Linked DNA regions of Macaca fascicularis. The protein of the gene in region 1 interacts with the protein of each later gene in a biochemical or structural test. Links are inferred from orthologs where the notes say so. Each region holds a gene or a part of one and is shown on either strand. Other genes may lie near its edges.

The links.
Region 2: the proteins of FLNA (region 1) and ASB2 form a complex in vitro, tested with the Homo sapiens proteins (3 studies listed by BioGRID, with this or other methods). The link is inferred for Macaca fascicularis from reciprocal best matches to the Homo sapiens genes FLNA and ASB2.
Region 3: the proteins of FLNA (region 1) and ITGB1 form a complex in vitro, tested with the Homo sapiens proteins (3 studies listed by BioGRID and IntAct). The link is inferred for Macaca fascicularis from reciprocal best matches to the Homo sapiens genes FLNA and ITGB1.

What each region holds. Positions count from the first base shown.
Region 1 is NC_088395.1:160,382,534-160,386,204, reverse strand, and holds the end of FLNA (filamin-A), read right to left. Parts: intron 3,534-3,671; coding exon 3,401-3,533; intron 2,702-3,400; coding exon 2,525-2,701; intron 2,362-2,524; coding exon 2,143-2,361; intron 2,060-2,142; coding exon 1,856-2,059; intron 1,544-1,855; coding exon 1,356-1,543; 3' UTR 1,036-1,355; downstream 1-1,035. UniProt on the Homo sapiens protein: Promotes orthogonal branching of actin filaments and links actin filaments to membrane glycoproteins. Anchors various transmembrane proteins to the actin cytoskeleton and serves as a scaffold for a wide range of cytoplasmic signaling proteins.
Region 2 is NC_088381.1:161,986,658-161,991,699, reverse strand, and holds the start of ASB2 (ankyrin repeat and SOCS box protein 2), read left to right. Parts: upstream 1-1,535; 5' UTR 1,536-1,660; intron 1,661-5,042. UniProt on the Homo sapiens protein: Substrate-recognition component of a SCF-like ECS (Elongin-Cullin-SOCS-box protein) E3 ubiquitin-protein ligase complex which mediates the ubiquitination and subsequent proteasomal degradation of target proteins.
Region 3 is NC_088383.1:33,708,742-33,713,732, reverse strand, and holds the start of ITGB1 (integrin beta-1), read left to right. Parts: upstream 1-1,484; 5' UTR 1,485-1,587; intron 1,588-1,760; exon of another isoform or gene 1,761-2,684; intron 2,685-4,991.

The DNA.
Region 1 (3,671 bases):
CTGAGCTGCCGCTGCCTTTTCTACTCTGCCTTCTCAACAGGAGTCAAGGAGGGAACGCATGGTGTTGAGGTCTCAGAAGGCCTGGGTTTGATGTGTGCCATGGCTGCAGGCTATGGCCTGGTCCTCTCCTTCCCCTTGCTCATGTGCCTGGCCCTGAGCTGTGGGCTCTGGGGTCATGGGGACCCGTAGGGCTTCGTGTCAGATGCTGTGGAGCTGAGGGAGGATGTGGCAAGAAAGCTGAGTGTTGTCCCTGAGAGCCTTGCTTCCTGGCCCTTGTCTGCAGATGTCTGAGGTGGTGGTGTGCTTGTCAGGGGTTTGATCTGGGCCAAAGCCACCTGAAGCCTTTGGCCTGCGGAGCAGGCAACTTTGTGTGCTGCAGTTGGCATGTCCCAAGAGCATGCAGGCAGCACTAGGAGCCAGGACGACTTGGGATGTTGTGTGTTTGGGAGCAGTCTTTACAGTGGGAGAACATAGGTTAGTGTGGGAATCCACGGCAGGGGTACCAATGAGGAGATACTCAGCAGGGGCCCCAGGGTACCTGGGATTGGCACTTAGAATGCATCCACCTACTGCCACCTGTAAAGGGCCCTGTACCGAGCCTGGGGGAGGGGGCCTCATCCCAATCCCTTGTTCAGGGGAATGGTGGCATGTTCAAGTTACCTGGCAGATGGCCAGGGCCTGCTGTGATTTTGAGGACTGCTTAGAGGGCTCTTGACTATCTGGCCACCTCCACCAGGGAGCCTTCCTGACATCACCCTACCCAGTAATGGGCTCTCCTCCCCAGCTCTTTGCCTCCTTGCAGCCTGGGCTCCATTCCGCGTTGCTACATGTCCCTCTCCTTGCGTTGGCTCGAACTCAGGGAGGCAGAGGAAGCAAGTATAGATGGAGCCTTCTGGAGTCAGGGTGGGGTGAAGCAGGAGCCCTGGAGGGAGGTGACCTGTGGTCGGCCCACGCTTTGATATGCTCATTGGTACCCCTGTCAGGTTGGCCTTGACTGGTCCCCCAACCCCAACAAAGCTACAGCCACCCACAGGAGAATGGAAGCAAAACTTTATTCCTCTTGGCTGGAGAAGAGAAGTAGTGGGTGGTCGTGTACAGGACCCCCATCCCTCACCCCTCCCAGAACCAAAGAAGACAAGCAGCGCCACCAAATGGCTCCCTCTGCCCAAGTGAAAGCCGAGAGGTCAGCGGCTGGCTGGGGAGGCAGGTGAGCGCAGCACGGCACAGGGCAGGGGCGGCTGCAGTGACAGGCAGGCGGCCAAGGTGGCCCAGGGGCCAGGGCTGAGGGGAGGAGGGCGGGGCTGCTTGGATAGTGGGGCAGGCTTGGGGGCTGCCGGCTGGCACTGACCCCAGACTCAGGGCACCACAACGCGGTAGGGGCTGCCTGGGATGTGCTCGTCGCCCCACTTGACCACCAGTGTGTACTCCCCCTTGTCCTTGAGCAGGTAGGACACGCTGTAGAGCCGGCTGCCCACGTGCTTCACCAGGATCTCCTCGCAGGGGGTCCTTGGGCCATGAACCCCCACCAGCAGCATGTTGTTGCCTGAGGCAAGAGGGGTCCTCAGTCACAGGTCCCAGCCCCCTTCCTCCCGCTGGTGTCCTCTCTCCTCTCCTGTCCCTAGCCAGTTCTGGGGTGACAGTTCTCTCTTGCTAAAGAGCTGCCAGCACCTCCCCAACCCAGGCTGGCTTAGCAGATTCCAGTTCCTCCCTGGCCTTTGTTTGAGGGTCCAGGAGGTGGCTCTAGAAGTGACAGCCATACCCCAAAGGTGGTCCCCCCTCTCTCAGATACTGGCCGTCCTGTGATTTCTGGCCTCATTTTGGTGGGAAGGTGGGCCGGGGGCCCGAGTTTGCCCACCTGCTTTGCTGCAGTCTACCGTGAAGCTGCTCTTCTGGCCTATGTAGGCCTTGCTCAGTCCCAGGCCCTTGGCCACCACCTTGGCGGCGTCAGCAGGCCCAGGACCCGGAGCCCCATGCTGAGGAGCGCAGGTGGCCTTGGTCAGAGAGTCTACAAATACTGATGATGTCTCGTGGAGGCTGTGGTTGCTGACGAGACGGGGGCCTGCAGGGCAGAGTGGGTGGGGCTAAGAGGTGGCCATGGTGCCAGGCATTGGGCAGGTACCAACAGCTTGGCCCCAGGCTTACCTGTGACTTTGGCCTTGAAGGGGCTGCCCCCAATGTGATAGGGGCCACCATACTTGATGGAGATGAGGTAGCTGCCAGGTGCCATGGGGGTATAGGTGACACGGTAGCCCTCAGGGCACTCCTGGCAATCCATCTTCACCTTGGAGGGGCCATCAATGGTCACCGACAGGGCACCAGCTCCTGCATTGCTCGTGTTCACGATGAACTCAGCTGGGCTCCCTGGGAGCACAGGAGGTCAGGCAGAGCCAGACTGGTCTGCCTCCCTGTCCTCAGCCACCCAGCACAGGCTTGTCACCTCCAGATGCCTCCCGTTGTCACCAAGAGCTTGGAGGCAGGGGTCTAACAGCTGCATGCACACCTGCAGCCGCACCCACAGACTTACCTGTGACACCGCCTTCCAGGCCTGCTCCGTAAGCAGACACCAAGCCTGGGTCCCCTCCATGACCGGGCTCCCCAACTCGGATCTTGAAGGGGCTTCCAGGGATGTGGGTGCCATTGAACTTGACGTCAATCAGGTAAACGCCATTCTCCCGAGGGATGAAGCGCACAGCATATTTATCTGAGGAGCAGGGAGCCATGCTGTGGGCCTGGGGCTCCTCCTCAAACCAGCAAATGGTGTCTGAGGAATAGCCTCAACCCTGGCCCTACCCGTTTTGCTGGTCCATCAGTGTGAGCCCAGCCATGCTGGGCACCTGCACCCTGCAGCAGACCTCCCGAGGGCTGAAGCTTTAGACACTCAAGCTGCCCACTGCCAGGGTGCATTGGGACAGAAATCTTTTACAAGCCAAACCCAGGCCTCGCTGCCTCCTAAGAAAGGTTACCGTGAACAACATATCCCCTGCATGTTAACGGGCTCAGAGACAGGCAGGAACTTGCTTCAGGTCACGCAGCTGGGAAGGGCAGGACTAGGCTGTGAAATGAAGCCCACTGGGCTCCTCTTACCCCCAAGGTTGCCCCAGGCCTGTGCACAAGTACCATGGCCATGGCTAAAGGGCCGAGCAGCACTGAGGCTGGACTTTGAGTCTTTGCCTGTGGCGACAGCATGGTACTTCAGGGTAGAAGGCCTTCCTAACAGCCATGGGCGGCGAGCCACATTCACAATGGCTTGGGTCACCAATTGAGAAAGGGTTGCTTGGCTTAGGGGGGCCAGGAGATGGGGCCCCGTCTTGGCTGCTTACAGAAGCGGTACCTTCCTTTTGTACTCTCAGCCTGCTTCCAACCAGCAGGGCAGGGCGGCCGGGCGGGGACAGGGCCTCACCTTGGTCAATTTCTGTGACATAGCACTCCTCCAGGGCTCCTGAGGGGCTGTGCACCTTGGCATCGATCGCCCCCTTGGCCCCATTCAGGCTGACTGCAAAAGAGGCTGGCTGGTTGACCTTTAGCCCTGACTCCTGGAAGCACAGCAGACATGGTTAGATGGGGGGCTTGGGCCAGGGCAAGGGCAAGGGAGAAAGGAAAGGCCCCAGGAGCAGGAGGCCCGCGGGTTGCACTTACCCATCTGGCGTCCAACTTGGTTTAAAGAGGGAGAG
Region 2 (5,042 bases), on another chromosome or scaffold:
TGACCACAAGAGCTTTGTCTGGACTGAGCAGGTAAGGCAGAGGGCGACCTAGGAAGGGCCTTGTGTGATTATGGCCCACCTTCCAGGTCGGACTGGGGAGGGGCAGGCGGTGGGCAGGAAGCAGAGGAACCTGTGTTTTGTCTCCAGCAAGGAGCCCAGGAAAGCAGCCCGGCCTCAGGGAGCTGTCTCACAGAGGCCACTGGAACGTTCTACCGGGGAGGAAACACCCCCAAAAGTAAAAAAAATCTGACAGCCCCTTCTCTGCCCTTCTCCTGCACTCCCTCCATAGCACATGGGTCTGGAAGGGACTGAACCTGAGCTAACTTTGAGGGGCCACCCAGCCACAGTGGCCTGGGAAGACTGTCCCAGCTGGGGTGATGAGCAACTTGGCAGGTACCAGGGAAGCTGGGGGACTGCCTGGGGACCACTAGTGTCCCTCCTGTCTTTAGCACCAGTCATACCTCCAGAACCTTGACCCAACCCCATGGCACCTTGTATACTGAGATGTATTTCCTTGTGGAATATTCGAAGTGCATGTAAAGGCATCCTGAGGTTTCCTGAGTTTTAATTGGTGAGAAATCATGCTGTGGCTGTCATAAATCCCACATCCTCCAAGGGGAATGGGCCACTGAAATGAAAATGATTCTCCACATAGAGGAACAGACCAAGTCATGTTTCTGGACCCCCAACCCTGAGGCGTGAGATGTGAATACACAGGTGGGAGTGTAGGTGCCTGGCTGAGTCCCATCACATCCCAGATGCTCAGTGCGTGTGGCTGTGTGTGTGTTGTCTTTGACATTCGACCTATTCCGGAAATGGGACATTCTTCCCTAGACCAGGAGGAAGGGCTCCCTTCTGCTGTGTATCTCTGCCCAGGACTTGCCCGCATGCCTCTCTGTTTGTTGGCTCATTTGTACCTTGGCCCTTTGTATCCCCAGCCCCACCCCACAGTATCCAGCAGCCAGACACCTGGTATCCCCAAATGCTGCCACAAGTTCAGCACCGAACCTTGATTTCTCCAAAGCCCTTTTACATCAACTCCTTCATCTCCTCTCTCCCCCACTTCCCTCCTCTTTCACTCCATCCTCTTCCTTCCTGCTGTCTTGCCTTCCCTCCTTTGTTGCCTTTTCTTCTCCTCTTCCCCTTTCTTTCTCCTCCCCTGCTCCTCACTCTTTGTCTCCCAACTCTGCGTCTCCTCATCCTCTTTCCCTGCCTCTGTCTCTGACCCACTGCATCTCCTGTTTGGCTCCCTCCTGGGTAGTTCCAGAAACATACCCATATATGGCCTCCATGTCAAGGATCACAAATGATGACATCACGTGAGGGCCAAAGCTCCGGGATCCTCTCTGAAGTGAGAGTCTGTATTCGATGCACCCAGAGGAACGGAAGGCAGGATCGCAGCTTCCTCAGTGCAACCTCCAAACAGGAAATCTGAGATGCATAACATCTTATAGTTTGGCTTGTCAACGTTGGTCATGCGGTGGCCCCAAAATAAACTCCCTGCTTCAAAGGAGAGCGTTTCAGAACTGCCTGGCAGAGCAGCCAGAAGCTTGGGGCCAGGGCAGAAGGAAAACTCGGGGAGCATGTTCTGAATTCAGACACTCTCAAGAAAATCCTTTGTATTACCCCTGAATTGTACCCTTGTTTCAGAGCCTAACAGGTAATGCATGCTTTCAACTTTCTTATATAGATCTTGCAAAAGATTGTTTGGCTGGCTGGGATTTTCAACTGCAGTACTTACTGGAAACCTCTTGTAGTCAAACTGCGATGTTGCTTTTCCCTCTCTCTCGTATTTTCTTGAGTTATACAGCATGCTGGTGACTTTCATTTTGGATGCAATGAACAGAGGCTCAGCAATTTGCACGTACTTACCCATTCTTCTGGAGGACTCTCGCTCAGAATATCACTCTGCTGTGCACTTCTAAAAATGGAAATGCAAGAGGAGTTATCAATGATGCTATTGTTGGGTCCGTAGGTCTTGGGCAATATCTGTCAGACAAATGACTTTCAGAAATGCTTTCAGGTCAGGTGCACAGATAGAGGTTTTCATGAGTGGGAGTTAATTTAATGTAACTGTTGCAGAGTGCCTAGGCATGCACGGTATTGTGGGAGACCATAGCAACCAAGGTGCCATGGGCTCTGCTTTCAACTGCTTGGGGTTAGGAGAGGAAATGGAGGAATGTTATTTATGTGAGATTTAACAAAGCTGTGGAATGCAGGGATGCAAGAATACCATGCATGTGTGTGCACACGCATATGCATGATGCATTTAAGGAGGCCATGGCCTTTGAAAGGATAGGTGGGATGCCTCAGGGTGGAACCAGAGACCTCTAGTTGGAGGAGCAGCTTGGGCAAAGGCTGGGAAGTCAAGGGACCTGGGGTGATGGTAGAAAGTGAAATGTGGCTCTGGCAAAGGGTCCTGCACGTGAAAAATGGGGGTGAGGCTGGAAGGGGAGGCCAGAGGGAGAGGCAGATGCTTCCAGGCCAAGCAAGAAGTTGGAACACTTCCTGAGAGTTTTTGAGCAGAGGACAGCACACACATAGCCACACGCACTGAGCATCCAGGATATGACGGGACACAGCCAGGCACCTACACTGCCACCCGTGTGTTCACATCTCAGGCCCCAGAATTGGAAGCCCAGAAACATTACTTGGTTTCTGGTGCCTCTAGGTGGAGAATCATTTTCATTTCAGTGGCCCATTTCCCTTGGAGGATGTGAGATTTGACTTCGGTGGCTCTTCGGGAAGCCAGGGGTATGAACTGGAATGAGGAGGCAAGGAGGCTGCTGACTCCGAGGGAGGGCAGGTAAATGAGGAGGGCCTGAAGCAGGGCAGAAGCTGAGCCTCTGCACAGGACAGGAGTGCTCTTCTAAAGATAAGCTTGTTTCGTGAGGTGAGGGCTTGAGGGGGCTCCGAGGGGCACAGACAGATCCAGCTGGGGCCAGCTCCCCTGCCACAGCCCTGAACTCTGCCTGGGCAGAAGCACCATGAGGCAGCCAGTGGCAGATGCTGGAGGCACTTCCAAAACAGTTGGACGGGTCCTGACAGCTGATGGCAGGCCCATGTGCTGCACAGTGTCCCCAGAAGAAGCTGGCAGCGGCTCCACTGGGCGCCATGGTAGTTTGCATCATCTGTTCTTGCACAAACAGGCCGGGTCATGAGTGCCTTGTGGTGGTAGGGGTGGGGGACGCTGTATAATCCACCCACCATGACCTTACAGTGACAACACAGGCCATACCAGCAAGCATTCGTTGAACACTAACCCAAGCATGTGTGCAGGTTTCTCTCATTGACCTCTGTCAAGGCTGCCATGAGTTATACGTGATTGTTACTCCCATTTTCAGGTCTGGAAACAGGTTATGAGAGCTTAAATGTCTTGGGTAAAGCTGGGCGGCCGTTAAGTGTTGGAGTCAGGAATCTGACCTCTTGGTCTGCAAGGTCCACATTCAAAGCCACAGTGTCCTGTGGCCTCTCGAGGTGCTGTGGCAGTGGTAAACAGGACCATCGTGCACCCAGGGGAAATGTCTCTGGCACAGTCAAGGCATCATAAGGTGCCCGTATATTGTGGACAGGCTAGATCCAAAGAGTCTTCCCAAAGGAGGCACAAAAATATCTCTGGGTCCGCCCAGTGTCCTTCCATTTCTGCGCTGCAGAGGGTCAGTCTGCCCACAGGAGGCGGCTGTCGCAGGAGTGGCTTGTGTCTGTGGTTCTCTTTCCTTAGCACCATCTTTTGGAATAATTAATGCCCAGGAATATGAATGAAGTTATTAAGAGCTTTGTGGTTGAGAGGAATGTTTTGGGGAGGTGGTTCTGAAATAAAAATAAATTGATTCCTAAACTGCCTGTTTTAAAGAATGGGACATAGAGGAGTAAAAAAGGAGAGAGGAAAGCAGAGACAAGAGAAGAGAAAGATTTAAATAAAGGCGGAGTCAGGGGAACTCAGAGGAGAGAGGATAAAAAAAGGAAAAAGCACCTCGCCGATTTGGGTGAGATCTAGCTTAAAAGATTTCCAGCCAGCCCTGCAGGTGAGGAGGGGACTATGGAGGATTCCCTCTGTCCTGCCCGAGCCTTCCCGCTCTGCTGCCTGGAGTTAGAGCTTCCAGAAGCCCCATGTGTTGTGCCACTAAGGAACCAAGGTGAGGGTTCACCGTCTTTGGGTGCCCAAGGGACAGAACAGGGCTAGGTGGGCTGCACTAGGACTGGGGTGCTGGGGAGGCTCAGAGGTGGACTGACCAGCCCCATCCACCCCTGTCACCCCCACCTCCAGTCACTGGCACAGATGACAGAGCCTGGCATTTGTAGAGCCCAGGCAGAATATGGGTCAGGGACCTGGAGTCCTGTGTCCTGAGCTGTGAGTGTCTGAGCCACACAGATGCGGGGAGGGGCCAGCCTCTGGCAGGGCCAGGAGGCAGCAGAAGGGCCCTTCACTCAGGAGGTAGAGAAGAAGGTGACCCGTGAGCCTAGAGACTCAATAGCTCAGGGACCCAAAGAAGTAAACTGGAAGCTTGGCCTTTGTGGGTGCTTTTCTTAGCTGGTGGTGTTGGCACTGCCGCAGGTAGTGGGCATCTGGGCCTGTGCAGAATGGATGCTCATCATTGTAACAGGGCACTTTCCACATAAAAATGGGAGGTTTCTCCTGAATTTTTCCTTCTTCCCTCTCTTCCTCTCACCGTCATTCTTGCTTTCTTTATGTAGTGGCATCGTCAATGTACATCAATAAGTAAATAAACTACCAAGACTTTTCATTAGGGTCTTAGATTATTCGGGAGAGATTCACCCAGATTTGGGTCAGCAAGAGGCACTCCATTTGAGATGGAGCCTCAGTCTCCTCCTCTATACAATGGGCACAGAGTGTCTGCTGGCGTGGGAGCAGAGCCAGCTTTGGACAGGTTCAAATCCCTGGTTGTCACCTCCTACGGGGTGATGTAGGGGCAGTCAAACCCCCACTCCGTACAGAGGGGAGAAGAGCCTTGTTTTGTGGAATTAGCTGGGCCTGCAGCCCTGAACGCACCTCTTGAGTTCCCTCCAGCGGCCCCAGCCCA
Region 3 (4,991 bases), on another chromosome or scaffold:
AGTGCAAATCAGGCATGGACCAATTATGCTTTTGAACTATACAGTTTTCTGTAATGAGACTGGGCTAATTCTGATGAATTCTCAACAATGGTAAAATCCATACCTTTAAAATTCAAGAATGTTGTGTTCTAATGGCAGTTTGACCATTGAGATATTAACATAGGAACATCATTTAGCCTCTTAAGCTTGAACATCCATTAAGCGGGAAAAATAGTGCTTATTTCCTAGAGGTCTGCAGACATTGGCTAACCAATAGTTTTGATTTTGCTGGTAAGTAATGTGCAAATTTTCTTAGATGTGATCGCCTCATTTTCTCTTATATTTTAGATTGGCAGCAGCCAAATGGGCGTTCCAGCCCCTCATCTCCTGCAAGATTCTTCTCAGTTTCATAAATCTGGTAATTTTTGAGCTCTTTTCCCAACAGGGTGCTGCAGCTCACCAAGTGGAACCTACAACATTTTCTGCTACCAGGATAGCAGCTTGCCAGCAGCGTATACTGAAATTACTGGGTTTCAGTATGATGTTGGTTGGTACGAACTTCAATCATCGAATCGACATGCGCCCAGCCATTCTCATAATGAATGTTTCCTTCTCTTTCAAACGTTCTGTTTCCAGCCCCCATCTCCTTTTTTTTTTTCTTTTTTAAAGAGGTTTGAAACAGAAACTCTACTCCGTAGGAAGAAACTTTTCCTTCTCATCCCTGTTCCCCATAAAGGGACCTCCAGATAAATCTATCAAAAGCAGGACCCAACTCACCAGGTTTTCTAAAACGTTCCCCAGTCCCACCACCCTTCGTGGCACCCACGGGTTTCCCAAGTCTTCACCTTTCTCTTAGACACACGCTAGCACATTATCACTCCAGAAAAGCAGTCCTGGCTTAGCCAGTTCCCTTCCAGAATGACCACGTGGTTTTTGGCCCCATGGAGTCCTGCAGGGTATGGGGGGGTTCATGGTACCGATTTGCCTCGGGACTGAGGGGGCTTCCGGGATGCAGGACCTCCCGGGCTCTCAACGGGACATCAGTGGACAAACGGGAGGGAGGGTCGGACACGCGGATCCGAGGAAGCGGAACTTAAAGAACACGGGCCCAGCAGGCTACACCAGGAACGCGCGGGGCTTTAGGGCGCAACCGACCCCTCCCGCCCTTCACAGAGGAGGAAACTGAGGCATGGCGACTGTCTCAGCGGAGTCCCGGCCCTGCCCTCCACGGCCTCCCTCAGGCGCGCTCCCGAGCGGGCCAGTTCCTTTGTCCCGGTCGCGCTTCCTGCCTCCTCCTGCGCCTCCTCCTCGCCCCGGGGCCGGGCTGACGCGGCGGGAGAGGAATGCGTTTCCGGAGGGAGAGGGCGGTGGCGGCCTCGGGAGCGGGATCAGACGCGCAGAGGAGGCGGGGCCGCGGCTGGTTTCCTGCCGGGGGGCGGCTCTGGGCCGCCGAGTCCCCTCCTCCCGCCCCTGAGGAGGAGGAGCCGCCGCCACCCGCCGCGCCCGAGACTCGGGAGGCCCCGCCAGCCCGCAGGAGAGGCCGAGCGGGAGTCGCGGAACAGCAGGCCGGAGCCCACCGCGCCGGGGCCCGGACGCCGCGCGGAGAAGGTAGGCGCCGGCGGGCCTCGGGTGTGGGGGTGCGGGCCGCGGCCTCGGGTCTGCGGTGCGCAACAGCACTTAACAGCCGCCGGCCCGGGCCGCGCCGGGACCTTTGTGCCAGGCGTGGGGGCGGGGGCGGGGGCGGCCGCGGGCCGGTGGGGGCTGGGGCGGGATTCCAGGCTAGTCCGGGAGGAAGTCCGCACACCGCCACCCCCCTCGGGTCCCAGGCGCTGGCAGCGTCCGGGCGCCGAGTCGGCCCAGCCGCGTTCCGAGCGCTAGGGTCGCGGGCCTGGGCGCTGTCACGTCGGGGCTGCTGGAGCTGCGGAGGACCGGGCCTGAGCGGCTCCTGACACCTGCGGTCTCCCGCCAGGCTGGGCGAGCGCAGGTGGGAGCCAGCGAGGCCACCCGGGGCTCGGCGTTTAGGACTCAGCGCGCCCCTGGACTGGTCCTGCGCCTTTGTCTCTCGCTCCCTCGCTGGCTGCTGTTTTTGGAGCAGCGTCGAGCCGGCCGTCGGCGCCCGCTGTTGGGACTGGTCTTCTCCGACTGGAGCCGGGATAGAAAGTGGCCTCGCGGAGCCGCTGGGGACCGGGGGCGCGGCGGCGGCAGTGCAGTTCACTTCCCGGTGTTTATAAACGCGAATGCCGGGAAGTCAAGAGTCGCCGGCCCCTGCCGGGCACCCCGGGACCAGGACACAGGGCCACGGCCACTTTGCGCTCAGACCCGGTCCGCGAGCCTGAGAGCCCGTCCTGTGTCTAGTATCATTTTTACCGCGTGTCATTTCTTAGGCTTCATAAATTGGATTTATGAGACTCCCACTCTCTAAGTAACTTTCATTTAATCAAATTCGTGCTTTTAAGTCCAAAGCTTTGCACTCATTGGTATGATCATTAGTAAATTGCATTCTCTAAGCTTCCGTTTCCTCATCTGTGAAATAGGAACAATACTACCTACACTAATAATTCATTTTTATAACAATGACAGCGAGGGCCAGGTTTAGCTCTAGGCATTTCATGTGTATTATTTAATTCTGGAACTGCTCTAATGAGATTGCTACTGTTTCTATTTCCATTTTCCGAGTGAAGAAACGGAGGCACAGGGAGCAAAAAGTAAGTTGCATATGGTCATCGGGAGCTCCTGGAGAAGGCATGGGGTCTAGCTCCAGAGCCTACGTTTAAACCAAAAGTAACCTTCCTAACTATAGTCGTGAAAATCAAATGCAAAATGTAAAACACTTAGCTTGAGAGTAGATGCTCAATGAATATTGACTGCTTTTCAGCCCTTCTTTTATAGTAAAAAGATTTCTCGGAAGGTAATTGGTAACATCATTAGTAAGGTTTCTTTGGGCCAACGTGCCACATGGATAACAGGTGGATAGAATTGCTAGGTTATTTTGTTTTGTTTTGAGACAGGGTCTCTGTCGCCCAGGCTGGAGTGCAGAGGAGCTATCACAGCTCACTGCAGCCTCAGCCTCTCGTGCTTAAGTTATTTTTCCACCTCAGCCACCTGAGTAGCTGGAACGACAGGCGCCTGCCACCATGCCCGGCTAATTTTTTAATTTTTTGTAGAGACAGGATTTCACTATGCTGCCCAGGCTGGCCTCAAACTCCTAGGCTCAAGCAGTCCTCTCTCCTAGAGCTCCCAAAGTGTTGGGATTACAGACTTGAGCCCCCTGAGCCTGGCCCTTAGGTTATTATTATTTTTCTTATTGTACTTCTGATGCTACAAAAATAACGTTCTAGAGGAATTTAGACATCTTTCTTAAACCACATATGCCCTTTACGATAGGGTATACAATAGGCCACTTTTAGAAATGATTAAGGAACTTTAGTTGGCAGTTACCTGTTCATTTGTGGACATCAAGGCCCAGAGGGGTCAGGACTTAGAGTCTCACTGTAATTCTCATATTTTTAAATAATGTTGGCTCATTGATCAATATTATATAAGTGACTGAAGATGGTGAAGTGTTAAATAAAAAACATTGGTATTTTGATTACAGGCATTTGGGGGGAAAGCCATTTTACTTACCCCAAAATTGAGTATGAAGGTGGAAGATGTTATTAGAATACTAGCTAAAAGGACAAAGAATGTGGTTAATAGTTTAATTGTGTAAAAAGGAAGCAAATAGACTGTTTAACTCATCTATGTTGACTTCAGACCTAGACCTACAATTTTATGTGATTTTCCTAACAATGTAAAGTTCTGTATTAAAGTTATTTTTGAATACCTTCAACATTCTGTACATGAAATGCATGGAATCAACAATTCTGAAAGTCACTGCATTTAGTAATTTTAACAATTAGGCAGCTTTCTTCTTAGCTTTCTGGTCAGTATAATTTAATTTAAATCAGCCCCAAATTACCATCACGAATGAAAATGTAGTTCTACATTGGTGTTCTTCCTAACTCTGGGAGTGACACTGGGGACAAATGGTCATACTATAATAATGAAAAGTGGTCAAACAACATGGTGCCAGTTTTTCTAAGAGTGCTTGCCACTGATTTTAATGTCTTTATTGTTTGACTTCTTGATAAGTAAGTTGTGGCTTACAGCAGGGAGTAGTACAGTGTTCTGTCCGAAAAAAATATTCATTAATATTCTGTAGCTGCTCTGGTTTGCCCTTAACCATGCTGCTAGTGTGATAAGCTGAAACATCTTGTAAAAGTTTCAGAGAGCTTTCAAGTTCCGAGAACTTAACTTTCTGAGTATGTAACAAGCTACATATATCTGAAAGGATTCATTTGGACTTCTGTCAGATTTTAGCAGATTTTCTCACTCTACGAGAGAGTTAGGATCTGTTAGGTTGTGGGTGGAATCCTAGAGATTATGCCAGGTAAATATGTAAGTGTCTGTATTGTATTAGCAGTGTTTACTCTGACTTGGTTCTAGGTTCTGAGAATTTGGCTGGTTGTTTTTTCAGAGGTGGGAAGTGTGGAGTAGAGAGGTTAAGATACAGAAAGGTACATTCGTCTTCTGAATCCTGAAGTGTCATGCTAGGGGTATCTATAGCTGTGGAAAACTGAAAGAATATTATGGTATGTACCCAGGTTAAAGGGGGTACAGTGCGTAAAAGTCAGAATATTAGCAGCCTTCCAATATGTCTGTCGGTAGGTGAAAAAAAATTTCTCTCTTTCAGGAGCTGTGTACAAAAGGATCCAAACTATACTTTATACATGTGTTACTGCTTTAAAAGTGGCTGTGAGTGTTTAGAGGTCAACTGACTTTAAACTTGCCGTTTGATTTGTGACTTTAGAAAGTAGAGTTAACTATATTTAGCAATATGCTTAAACATGTGCATATCACCTCATGAAACATGTGTGTGCATGAGAAAAGCTGCCTCCAGTACATATACATATGTATATAAACACACATACACACAAGCATATATATGTATGTATTTCTTGTAGGACCAGTCT